Linked DNA regions of Xenopus tropicalis. The protein of the gene in region 2 purifies or fractionates together with the protein of the main gene of each other region. This does not show direct contact. Links are inferred from orthologs where the notes say so. Each region holds a gene or a part of one and is shown on either strand. Other genes may lie near its edges. The genes, in order: abhd12, slc39a12 and nat14.

Region 1 (3,755 bases), on a different chromosome or scaffold from region 2:
AAACTGATGCTTGATGCCAATGTTATAAATAGGAAAAAACATAAAAATCTAGGAAGGCCGGTATTTTTTGCAGAAAAGGTGGTAAACCTCTTCAGAACCCATGTCTTACTTCTGCCTCTGATGACATCATATGTCATAGAGAGTTGGGCTTTCTGGTAGCTTCGTCAATATAGAGGGTTGGGGTGGAAAGGGGATGCTGTGAAAAGGAAGAGGCCTGCAAAATACCCCATACCTAGGATGCTGACCTGAATCCGCAGTTCCCACAAGTTTCAGAACTAACCATGCACCACTAATTTCTATGGTCCCATGGTCTGTCCACATGTTTGTAAGCCTTTTTTATTTACAATATTATTTTTTTAATTGTTAACAGATAACTGATGTAGAAGGAAACTGGGTTCTGGGCTTCGCATCTTTAAAAGTCCTTGCAATACCTCTTAGTGCAGATAAGACTGAGGGTGGTACTGCCTACATTCCCAATGGATCTTATCAGCACAGCACATAAATATATGCCACTGCCCTTTACAAGCTAAGGACACAAATGACAGCTGACTAGCCATATAATACAAAATACATACACACCAGATAGCCTAACCTTCAACCCAACAATTGCTCTTAAAAAAACAAAAACACCATAAAATGACAATAAAAATGATTTATATTTAATGGTTGTTTGCTCAGCACCAGCAGATTACATATCTCATGGCAACAGCACTACTATTTGTATACAGGAAAAGTTTTCACTCTATAGGAGTCTAAATAGCTATGAATACCAGCTAACCCCTGTCTATCTTCATTAAGATAAAACATTAATGGCAGTCCAGTTGGCCATAAAGCAACTGTACAGTGAGTAAACTAGATTTGTTTTTAAATCTTGTAAATCTTGTAATTTAAATCTTAAAAAATATATTAAACACGCAATTTATATATTAAATGTTTATACAATTGCTTTTCATTGTTTTGGTGTTACTGACCCTTTAAATTGCAACTCCCCAACAGTCTGGCAGGAGTCTGAAGCTCCAAGAGGCTGACATGCCCAATATACCGATAGAAACAGCTGAATATAGCGGTTGGGTGCACCTTAGAGGCAATATTGACGTGTAGCTGTTGTATTGGGGTCGCCTTGCATCATCACTGAACTGTGCTCCATCTATAACTGAGCTAAGCTCAGTGCACACAGTGATGTTCCTTTAAGTACTACATACAGAATATTCCATTTGCATGCTTTTCATATGGTGCCATTCTACAACAGCCAGAACTATCAAGAGAGCAAAATGTGCAGTTATTTGAGCTGAGAAATGGATGGCACAGAGCCTTTACCCAAAGGAACAGTCTAACACTAAATTAAACAAAGCAAACTCAGGGATACACAGCCAAACATAATATCCTCTGACTGTCAGCAGGTGCATATAAACAGCATTTAGAACACAAGGGGGCTGCTCAGCAGGACTATACTGTTACACAAGGGATTTCCAGCCAGGGGTCCAGCAGCTCCAATTGAACTACAATCTCAAGCATCCTGGAAGCAGTATTTCAGGGCCTCATACTGAAATCTCTGCATGAGCCCCTACACTTACAGGCAATGGCAGACAGGGAGAATTGTTGCCCCTGGTAAATGCCCGGACAATGTTTTGAATCGTAAGTTAAACACATTTCTGGCAGTGACCAGGCTTCATTGCAGGGAAATGAGAAAGAAGGCAATGCATAGGAGTTGCACACAGGCAGCAGCACCAGCAGCTCACAACCTTCAGTAGGAATATACAGTGAAATACATCTGGGGAATACTGCTAGGCTGGCAAAGCCAATCACTAGGAAATGAGTGGCAAGCTAGGCAGGAGAGGGAAAGGTGATGGCTTGGAGGGCATAGATGCCATGTATTGTTTTAGGATCCAACAAACGCACACAAACCCCTCTGCTCTTGCCAATATAGATGCCTATAAATCGCCATGTAGCACATCCCTGAATGCATGCCAGCCCTTGCCCATTCAGTACCTGCCGAACCTCTTCATGCCCTTGCTGTCGCAGTCGGAATCGTGTGGATAATGCCCCTTTGTCCCAGGGATTCTCAGTTTCTGCTTTATACTGCACTCCCTGTCCAGTGGGGCCCTGCCGAAGCTCTCATGTTCCGGGGGCACCGGCTCGGCTCTCTTTCTCATCCCTGGGCAGGTAAAGGGGGCACGGCTGACAGGCTGCGGCAGCTCCAGGAACCAAACTGCTGCTGCTGTTCCCCCGCTCCCCCTCCCCTTACAGCTGATCGCCAGGGCCCGCCCCCTACACTGTGACCTCCTGCCGCCAGCGACCAATAGCATGAGAGAGGCAGGGAGGAAATGTGCATGGGAACTGGAGCAGGGGCTGCTACTGATGCTTCGCTTCCACCACACAGACGAGCCAGCCGTTCAGGACCGGTATCCCCAGGCACTGATTGTTGCACTAAACACAGGGAAAATAGGAGCAGCCAGTATAGCCAGGGATGCTGGGAGTTGTAGTTCAGCATTAACTAGAAACCTTTGCGTGATATCCTTATTTTACTGGGTAACACATTGGCCAATCTACAAGGGAAATAACATTATGGCATACGTTAATTATTCATCAGTGAATTGTTCAGTGCCCATATAAAGACATGTGGCCAAAGAGCTTACTACTGCATGTTCCCTCAGTCCCTCTGACTGGATAAGTTTGATTTGGTCCAGTTTGTAGGTTACCAAATTGAGCTGAGATTCACACATCTGGCAACCTCCCCAAACAAGATCTAGTGTGTATGGCTAGTTTAAGAATATCAAAACCACAGGCAGTAAAATCCTTAAACCTAACCTATGTGCCTTAAGGTGGCCATACACAGGCAGATTTCACCTGCCAATATTGGTCCTTTAGACTGATCCTTTAGTGTATCTGCCGGTGTATGGGCACCACAAACGGTCCTCACCGACATCTGGCCTGAAATCAGCCAGATCTCCATCGGGCAGGCTTAATCTTTCATTCGGACTGGGGACCACATTCAAGAACAAAGGTTCCTATGCCCACCGTTTTGATTCAATCAGTTGGCCAAACAATCGAATTAGCCGGATTTCACCAACCCATAGGTGGGCATATCAGGAGAAGATCCGCTTGCTTGGCAACCTTGCCAAACAAATGGATCTTACAGTGTATGGCCACCTTTAGTCCTATGAATTATTTCATATATACAGAGCTGTCAACCTAAACTGCTGAGGTGCCAGGGGATGCTGGGTGCAAAACTTTGTTGGGTTTGGCTTTTGTGACATCATCACACATGCACAGTGGGAAATGGGGGATCACCTTTAAGTAAGCTTTTAATATGTTACAGAATGGCCAATTCTAAAACTTTTCAATTGGTTTTCATTTTTTATCATTTTTGAATTATTTGCTTTCCTTTTCTTACTCTTTCCAGCTTTTAAAAGGGGGTCGCTGACCCCAACAGTCATAAAAACTATTTTTTTTTTTAAGCTATCATTACTTTTTATTACCATTTAGACCCACTCCTATTCAAATTCTAGTGGTTACTAGGGTAATTTGTATCATAGCAATCATATAGCTGCTAAAATTCCAAAACTTTTAAAATAGCACTGTCTACAATATACATAAAATTAAATTAAATATGAACAATTCCTTTAAATGCTAGGAGGCAGGTGAGAAATGAACCCCCACTCCAGTAGTGGGAAACAAAGGCTAAGTCACCCGCAGTGGGAGGAAGCTCTTGCTGTGGCCAGCCTTGTTGTGACACTAAGCACCTCCCGGGGCAG
Region 2 (3,655 bases):
GTTTTCTGTGGGTTTTTTTTATGAAATTGAAAAATTCAAGATTTTCGTGTTCTTTTCATTTTTATTCTGCATTTTAATTCGTTTGTGGTTTTTCAATTTGGATCTTTTAATAAATTCCTAGGCATTTGTGGTTTTAGTGGAAACTAGTTTATGTGTGGTTTCAAATAAAATCAGAATGTTGATAAAGAGGCCTCCCCAACTGCTGTAATTGACTGATACTTCTGATACTATTAGACTAAGCTTCTAACTAGACATCATTATTTTATCTATTTGGGTCATTCATTCTAATGTGGTGACAGTATTTATTTCCCCTCTCTTTGTGTATATATTAACCAGCTCAGCTAAGTAGGAATTATTTCAGTGAGGGGTGCAACCTGATGGACGTTGCGCTTTTTCATCTCAGATACTATGTTATTGGATTAAATAGAAATCTCATTGCTGTGGCTCCCCTGGATTGAGTTAGAGAGAGAAAAGTTGGGACCCTCATGAATTTTCTCCCAAGGGGGTTGGGAGCCAGATCACTTATCCCCCCGTCCAACCTTTCCCCAAGTAGTTTCCAACCTAACCCTCCACAGTTCTCCAGTACGCATTAGCTGAAACCTCCTGTACAAACCACTTAAGTGTTAACTAGTGATGAGCAAATCTGTCCCGTTTCACTTCGCCGAAAAATTTGCGAAATGGTCTAAAATCTGCAAAATGTGTTTGTTGCATAACTTTTTTGTCGCCGCGTCTATTTTTGCAGTGAACGCAACTTTTTTTGATGCAAGACGAATTTTCCTGCTGCTAATTTTCAGGGAAGTTTTGCAAAACAATCCGCCAATGACGAAATGCGGATATTCACTGCGAAGCAATCCCTGGTGAAAAAATTTGCTCATCACTAGTGTAACCCTACACAGCGAACAGTAAGGAAGAGAGAATGCTCAGGTTGTATATTTAAACATACTGTGCAGGCCCAAATGTTCCATATTTTCATTGTGAAATGAGAAAAATGTGATACTCTATATCACTTGTTACCAATGCATTGTCATGTTACATGGATACTGTAAGCTGAAAAATCAATAAACAAGAAATATACAAAATAAAAATCTCATTGAGAAATTCCATGTAGAATGGCATTTGCCTATTTTTATTTAGCAAAAACGGTGACATCTAATTTGGAGTCCAATAAAAAGAAGCATACACACTCATCAAGCTCAAAATAATGCTCTGTTACAGTAAGTCTTTAGTAGAGTTCTGTACCATAATGAGTAGCACTGGTAGGAGTTTTGGGTATGGGTGTGGAAAAGACTGGTACTATTTCTGAAATACATCCCTACTGAATGAAGACTAAATATTGCCTCCAGCAGGTAACTGCAATTTCCATTTTTTAGGTACTTGGTGTACATGAAGTTGTCACCCATGAACATCATATGCAACAAGGAGACTACATTTTTGAAGAGAATGAATATTTGTGGAAAATAATGGGGATGATTGGAGGAATTTATGGATTTTTCCTGATTAACAAGCTTTTTTTCCTTCTTGTTTCATCTCCAAAGCAGGTAAACATTTCTGTCAATCTGGAACATGCCAATAGGTTTTACATTTACATATAAGGATAGAATAATACAAACTCTTTTTACCAAGGCGATCCAAATTCCTGCTTGCTGTAACTGGTAATGACACGCAAGGCCTTGAAAACACGATTTGGTAATATGCTTTAGAATTAAACATTTCTGTACTAAATTTAAACTTATTATTATTATTATTATTATTATTATTATTATTATTATTATTATTATTATTATTATCAATACTACTACTACTACTACTACTAATAATAATAATAATAATAAACACACGTGGGGGAAATTTATCAACATTAGTTTTTTTTTATGATTCAAGTTTTTAGGGCTAAAACATTTAGGGCTCAAAAACTTGAATATCTGATATGACATGATATGTATATATATCCCAAAAGGGAAAGTTGCGCTCAACCAATAAATTTTAAACCATTAGGTGGGGTATAGTATATTGAAGCAGTAGAATGAATTAAACAATCCCTGTTTTGCTTAATGGGGAGGACATTTCTTGGTAATGCACAGAATGTCTTAATGTCCTATATATATTGATAATGGGTGAGTGCAGAGGATCTCTTGTTTTAATGCTTATACATGTTGCCTGTGTGTTGTTGTCTATATGTATTTTGTGGTCACAACCTCATTGCACCCCCGCCTAAAGGTATAAAATTTAGTGGTTGAGCACAACTTTCCCTTTGTTGCTATAGTTTATACAGGAGCAGTGGCCAGCTCCATATTGTAGCTCCCTCCCTGCCCAGCCACAGTCAGGTGATCCCAGTGGAGCCAATAAAAGGGCAACCATTTGGGGGTTTTAACCTTTGTTAAATGTATATTAAAGCAGTAGAATTATTAATGAATCAGATAAGTCAGTGTAGGGCTGGCCTGAGGGAATGACTTTGATGTAGTTGGCCAGCTTGAAGTATATTGCAATATATGGAATTTCTTGGTAGCATAATGCACAGAATGTCTTCATGTCCCATATATATCAATAATGGGTGAGTGCAGAGGATCTCTTATTTTTATGCTTATACATGTTGTCTGTGAAAAAACTAAGCAATGCTTATTTGCCTAAGGCCTAAGACAACAGCCTTAAAGGAGGCAGCATGCGTATAGTTTTAATCGATACTGAGAGACATTTCAATCATTAATCTAACTACATTTTTATTCTCTGAACACACTTTTTTTTATCTCATACTCTCTTCTTCCTTTAGATTGTAAACCTACAGGGTATTCTTTACCTTTGTTTTTCTTATTTGTAGGGTCTGTCATTAATGAATGGACACTTGACACATTCACATGATCTACCACTGGATGCTCATTTAGGAGATCAATCAAGGAAAGCAAAATCTAGCTCTACCATTCAGCTGGTATGTTTCTTATTCTAATAGCCTGTATTCCCTAATAACCTGTATTCCCTATATTTCCTTCAAAAAGTTGAATTTTTCCCATTAAAATGATTGCTTTTTATTTTCCTTAATTATTAAAACTAAGCCACCAGCCCAGGAGACCAAAGCCACCCATTTGCCCAACTCCCTGTGTGGTGCCTTGAGACTGTTCTGTCCACCACTAGAGAAAAGTTTATAAATCTACAATGTATTGTTTGCTATTAGTTCCAGTAAATACTGCTTTCCCTTGGTGCCATTTGGTGCCAGTGAGTTACAGGAGAAAGTCTTTATGGTGCAGAGACAAAGTCAGGGTGCAATATACACCTGATATCAACATATACATAGGGTTAATTTTGAAATGGCATTCTGCCTATCTTTTTGCAAAAAGCCCCTATAGTTTTGGTTATATTTTGCACCAACCAAATTGGAATGGAAGTTCAAGACTTTAACATTACAGATGATCCCACCCTTTTTTCTTGATAGCAACTGTGAGAAGTTATATAATCAATCACTTAGAACAACACCCCCCTGTACTAAACTACATTTCTCACATTTTCTCCACTAGCATCATCTATTCCAATAAAGGAAACCATGTGCCATAAACCTAATAGCAGCAACGAGGAAAAGAAAGAGCTCTTTTAAACAGAGCTTATTATAGCTTTTATATTGACATTGTTTATGTCAAAGGGAGGGAAGACTAGCAGTAAGGGTAAA
Region 3 (3,755 bases), on a different chromosome or scaffold from region 2:
AAAACGCGAGAAAATGACAAGCCTCTTGTTTTTTATGCGTATTTCGGCTACATGTGCCTGCACCCGAGTGTATCTCATTCATTTGGGTGCAGGCACAGGTAGGGTGTATTTACAGTAGCGGGGCGTATTCTCGGCAAGCGTTTTTCGGCTTGCTGAGAATACACCACGTCTGACATCAGCCTAAAGTGGTGGTTTTGGCATATGGCTCCAACCTTTGTTTCAGGCACCTACGCACGTTCACATTCCCCCCGCCACAAACCCACCCTCCCTGTGGCTGAATTTACTGAGCTGCCGGTGGGAAACGTGACAGCAGGGGAATAAACAAACTCTTTTTTGTTTTGTTTTTTTATAATTTTTGAATTATTTGCATTCTTCTTCTGGCTGTGACCCCATAGCCCAACTATTGCTATTCAGGTGCTTTCCTATTTATATTTAAGTCTCTCATTCAAACCACTGACTGGTTGCTAGGTAAATTAGAATGGTAGAAACCAGATAGCTGCTAAAATTCCAGACTGGAGAACTGTACAACATGATAAATAATATGAAAACACAAATAATAAATAATGAAGACCAATTGCAAATTGTCTCAGAATATCACTCTCTACATCATATTAAAAGTTTAATTAAAGGTGAACAACCCCTTTAATAGTTTTGGTAACACTGAGGACAAAATTTGTTGGCCAACTTAATAAGTACTCTTTTTTGCTTTTTGAATACACTTATGGTATGCAAAGAATTCTTTATACTGATATTTACCTTCAACATTTCCAGTACCACGGGTGCTTCCTCCTCTCGCATCTCCCGCACAGACAGCTGGTTCTCATCAATAAAGGGCATGGTTAGGGCTTTTCCAAGTAGGTGCTCTTTAAAGAAATGTAAGCAAAGGTGGTTTGTTCTTGGCAAAAAAATGTGTTAAATGAGCAACAAGTTAAATACAATTGTCACATGATTAGATCACAAAGTAATAACTAACTAAGGACTTAAATGAAAGTCTAGTGTAGTCCCAAAATAGATACGGAGTATCCAGAAGCTGCCAATATGGGATGCAAGTAGTCCTGGCTCCCCAAAAAAGCTGTCAGTGTGTATAACCAAATTGCCCAGAGTGCAGACTAACCATACTTTGCCTTGGGATGATTTTACTGGCCAGGAATATACACGGGTATGTATTGTGGCTCTCCTGCTTTTGCCTGCCTGTAAGTAAAAAAAAAAAAAAGGGGAAATACGCTGTGTGTGGCTCACCATAATGCCATTGAATGAGTATCACTTAAGAAAGGGAAAGGCCACATTTTCTTGCAGAAGTCACCAAAATGTCAAGTGCAATAGGAATGGGAAACCCCATTCACAGCCAGATATAAGTAAACTACAGCTCCAAATATGCTTTTGACATTTGCACAGGTATGGGGTCAGTTATCCAGAAACCCATTATCCAGAAAGTTACGAATTATGGAAGGACCATCTCCCATAGACTGCATTATAAGCAAATAATTTACATTTTTAAAAATGATTTTATTTTCTGTAATAATGAAACAGTACCTTGTACTTGATCCCAACTAAGATATAATTAATCCTTATTGGGGGCAGAACAGCCCTATTGGGTTTATTTAATGGTTAAATGATTCCCTTTTCTCTGTAATAATGAAACAGTACCTTGTACTTGATCCCAACTAAGATATATTTTATCCTTACTGGGGGTAGATCCAAATTATGAAAAGATCCCTTATCCAGGAAACCCCTGGTCCTGATCATTCTAGATAACAGGTTCCCACACCTGTTATTTCAGCAACATGCTATGGTGGGCCATAGGCAGGTCCGGACGAGGATTTAAAATAGGCCCTGGCAGCAGCCCACTATAAATAGTGACTGTCTATGGCATCTTACAGCAACAACTCTGGCATTTGCCAGAACCCACAGAATGCCAGTCCAGCTCTGGCCACATGTTGGGGGCTTTCTATGCTACTGAAACAGATAAAGCTACCAGTAAGGCTAAACCAGTCTGAACCAATCAAGACCCTCTGTGCCACTGTACCTTAAAATATCAAATTTAGGGTATATTCTTGGTGAGGGTTTAGAATAAAAAATCATTCTTTGATCTAAGAAGAAAAGCAGATGTGTAACCTGTAGTTTAAATTCCCTCATGGGATAGCCAGTAAAATATAAACTAAACTAAAATACATTGGTGTTGAGAGATAATCATGAGGATTGCTGCAGTATACTTACATTGCCCTCACCTCACACGCAAGGCTCTCAAAGTGTTAATTACATTAGCTAGAAGCAATATATACAGTACAACCCATGTGGAAAGAACCACAACCCACAATAATACACAATACAATGATACACGTGACTAGCGGTGTCTGGTTTACCTATGGGGGAGACCAGAAAGTAAAAGCATGATCTTTAATTCTGTGCCTCTTCCGAACTCACTCCCTGCAGGAAAGAGGGGGTTAACCATTGCACCCCAGGTCCCACAGGCCTTTGCTGGGGGGGAGACATGGATGGTGAATAACTGCATGCAGCTCATATGTACGGCTGTATCTTATGCACTGACCTTTCCTTTAATAGATTACAGCAGGCTTTGTCTCATCCAGCCAGGGACTCCATGATGCCAGTGGGTGAGGGGGAGGATCTGTCAGCTGAGAGCAGCTGCTGCTGGAGGAGGGGGTGTGTCCTATAGTAAATGCCTGCTGCTGGGCTGCCTGGGCTGGATAGATTCAGCCAGAGACTAATGGCAGGGCCAGCTGCTATAGCTCTTGTCTGACTGTCTGCAGCATATGTTTATCTATACTGTTCCACTGTATATAGTGACTCCCGCACACTGATACGATGACTCCAAGATATTTCCAGCAGTGGTGTAAACTGAGCTGTCCCCAGCAAAAATAACTGCAGGGAGGTCTGCTAATTAACCCACGTGCCTGCAAATCCCTAGTTGTGGGTGGGTCAAAAGATGTACAATATTGTAATAACTGATCTTTCAGCACCATAGGTTCTGCATCTCTTGTTTGCTGTAGGGAGTTAGGGTCCTAATGGGTGCTCATTGCACTCCTACAGCTTGTGTTATGGATTCCAAAACAATTAGTACTATGTAGAGCTTGATATTCTGAGACAAATTGCAACTGGTCTTCATTTTTAATTTTCTGTGGTTTTTGAATTATTTTGCTTTTTTGTTCAGCAGCTCTCCAGTTTGGAATTTCAGAAGGTATCTGGTTGCTAGGGTTCAAACTATCCTAGCAACCAGGCAGTGGTTTAAATGAAAAATTGGAATATGAATGGGAGAGGAGGTGAATAGAAAGATAAATCATATAAAGTAGCAATAACAATAAAATTGTAGTCTCACAGAGCAATAGTTTTTTGGCTGCTGGGGTCAGGGACCCCCACTTAAAAGCTGCAAAGAGTTAGTATAAGAAGGCCAAAAATTCAACAATTATAAGAAATAAAAAATGAAGACCAAATTAAAAGTTGCTAAGAATTGGCCGTTCTATAATATAGTTCACTTAAAGTGGACCTGTCACCCAGACATAAGACAAAATCATTTTTTTATTAACACATCCATACCCATTATAAAAGCATTTACAAATCCCAGCTGTCAGTCATATATTGCCTGCCTAAGGCATAGGGGTGGGGCAGACAGTTACTTTCACTTTCAGTTCAGAACTTCTTAGATGTTGCTGCCCTCCTCACATTCCCCCTCCCTCCTCACCATGTAATTGTATAACCAGTGCATGGACATCAGGTCCCCCCATACTGGAACACAAAAA

Evidence for each region.
Region 1: the proteins of slc39a12 (region 2) and abhd12 purify together in Homo sapiens (co-immunoprecipitation; 3 studies listed by BioGRID and IntAct, counting the BioPlex papers as one, with this or other methods). This does not show direct contact. The link is inferred for Xenopus tropicalis from reciprocal best matches to the Homo sapiens genes SLC39A12 and ABHD12.
Region 3: the proteins of slc39a12 (region 2) and nat14 purify together in Homo sapiens (co-immunoprecipitation; 3 studies listed by BioGRID and IntAct, counting the BioPlex papers as one, with this or other methods). This does not show direct contact. The link is inferred for Xenopus tropicalis from reciprocal best matches to the Homo sapiens genes SLC39A12 and NAT14.

Annotation. Positions count from the first base shown.
Region 1 is NC_030681.2:38,948,184-38,951,938, reverse strand, and holds the start of abhd12 (lysophosphatidylserine lipase ABHD12), read right to left. Parts: upstream 2,200-3,755; 5' UTR 2,154-2,199; coding exon 1,990-2,153; intron 1-1,989.
Region 2 is NC_030682.2:28,280,957-28,284,611, reverse strand, and holds part of slc39a12 (zinc transporter ZIP12), read left to right. Parts: intron 1-1,370; coding exon 1,371-1,538; intron 1,539-2,815; coding exon 2,816-2,923; intron 2,924-3,655. UniProt on the Homo sapiens protein: Uniporter that promotes Zn(2+) import from the extracellular space to the cytoplasm across the cell membrane. The transport activity is temperature dependent. May play a role in neurulation and neurite extension.
Region 3 is NC_030683.2:103,669,868-103,673,622, reverse strand, and holds the start of nat14 (N-acetyltransferase 14), read right to left. Parts: upstream 2,835-3,755; 5' UTR 2,549-2,834; intron 2,533-2,548; exon of another isoform or gene 2,364-2,532; intron 1,192-2,363; exon of another isoform or gene 1,115-1,191; intron 864-1,114; 5' UTR 838-863; coding exon 757-837; intron 1-756. UniProt on the Homo sapiens protein: Probable acetyltransferase. May act as a transcription factor that regulates the expression of coproporphyrinogen oxidase by binding to a promoter regulatory element.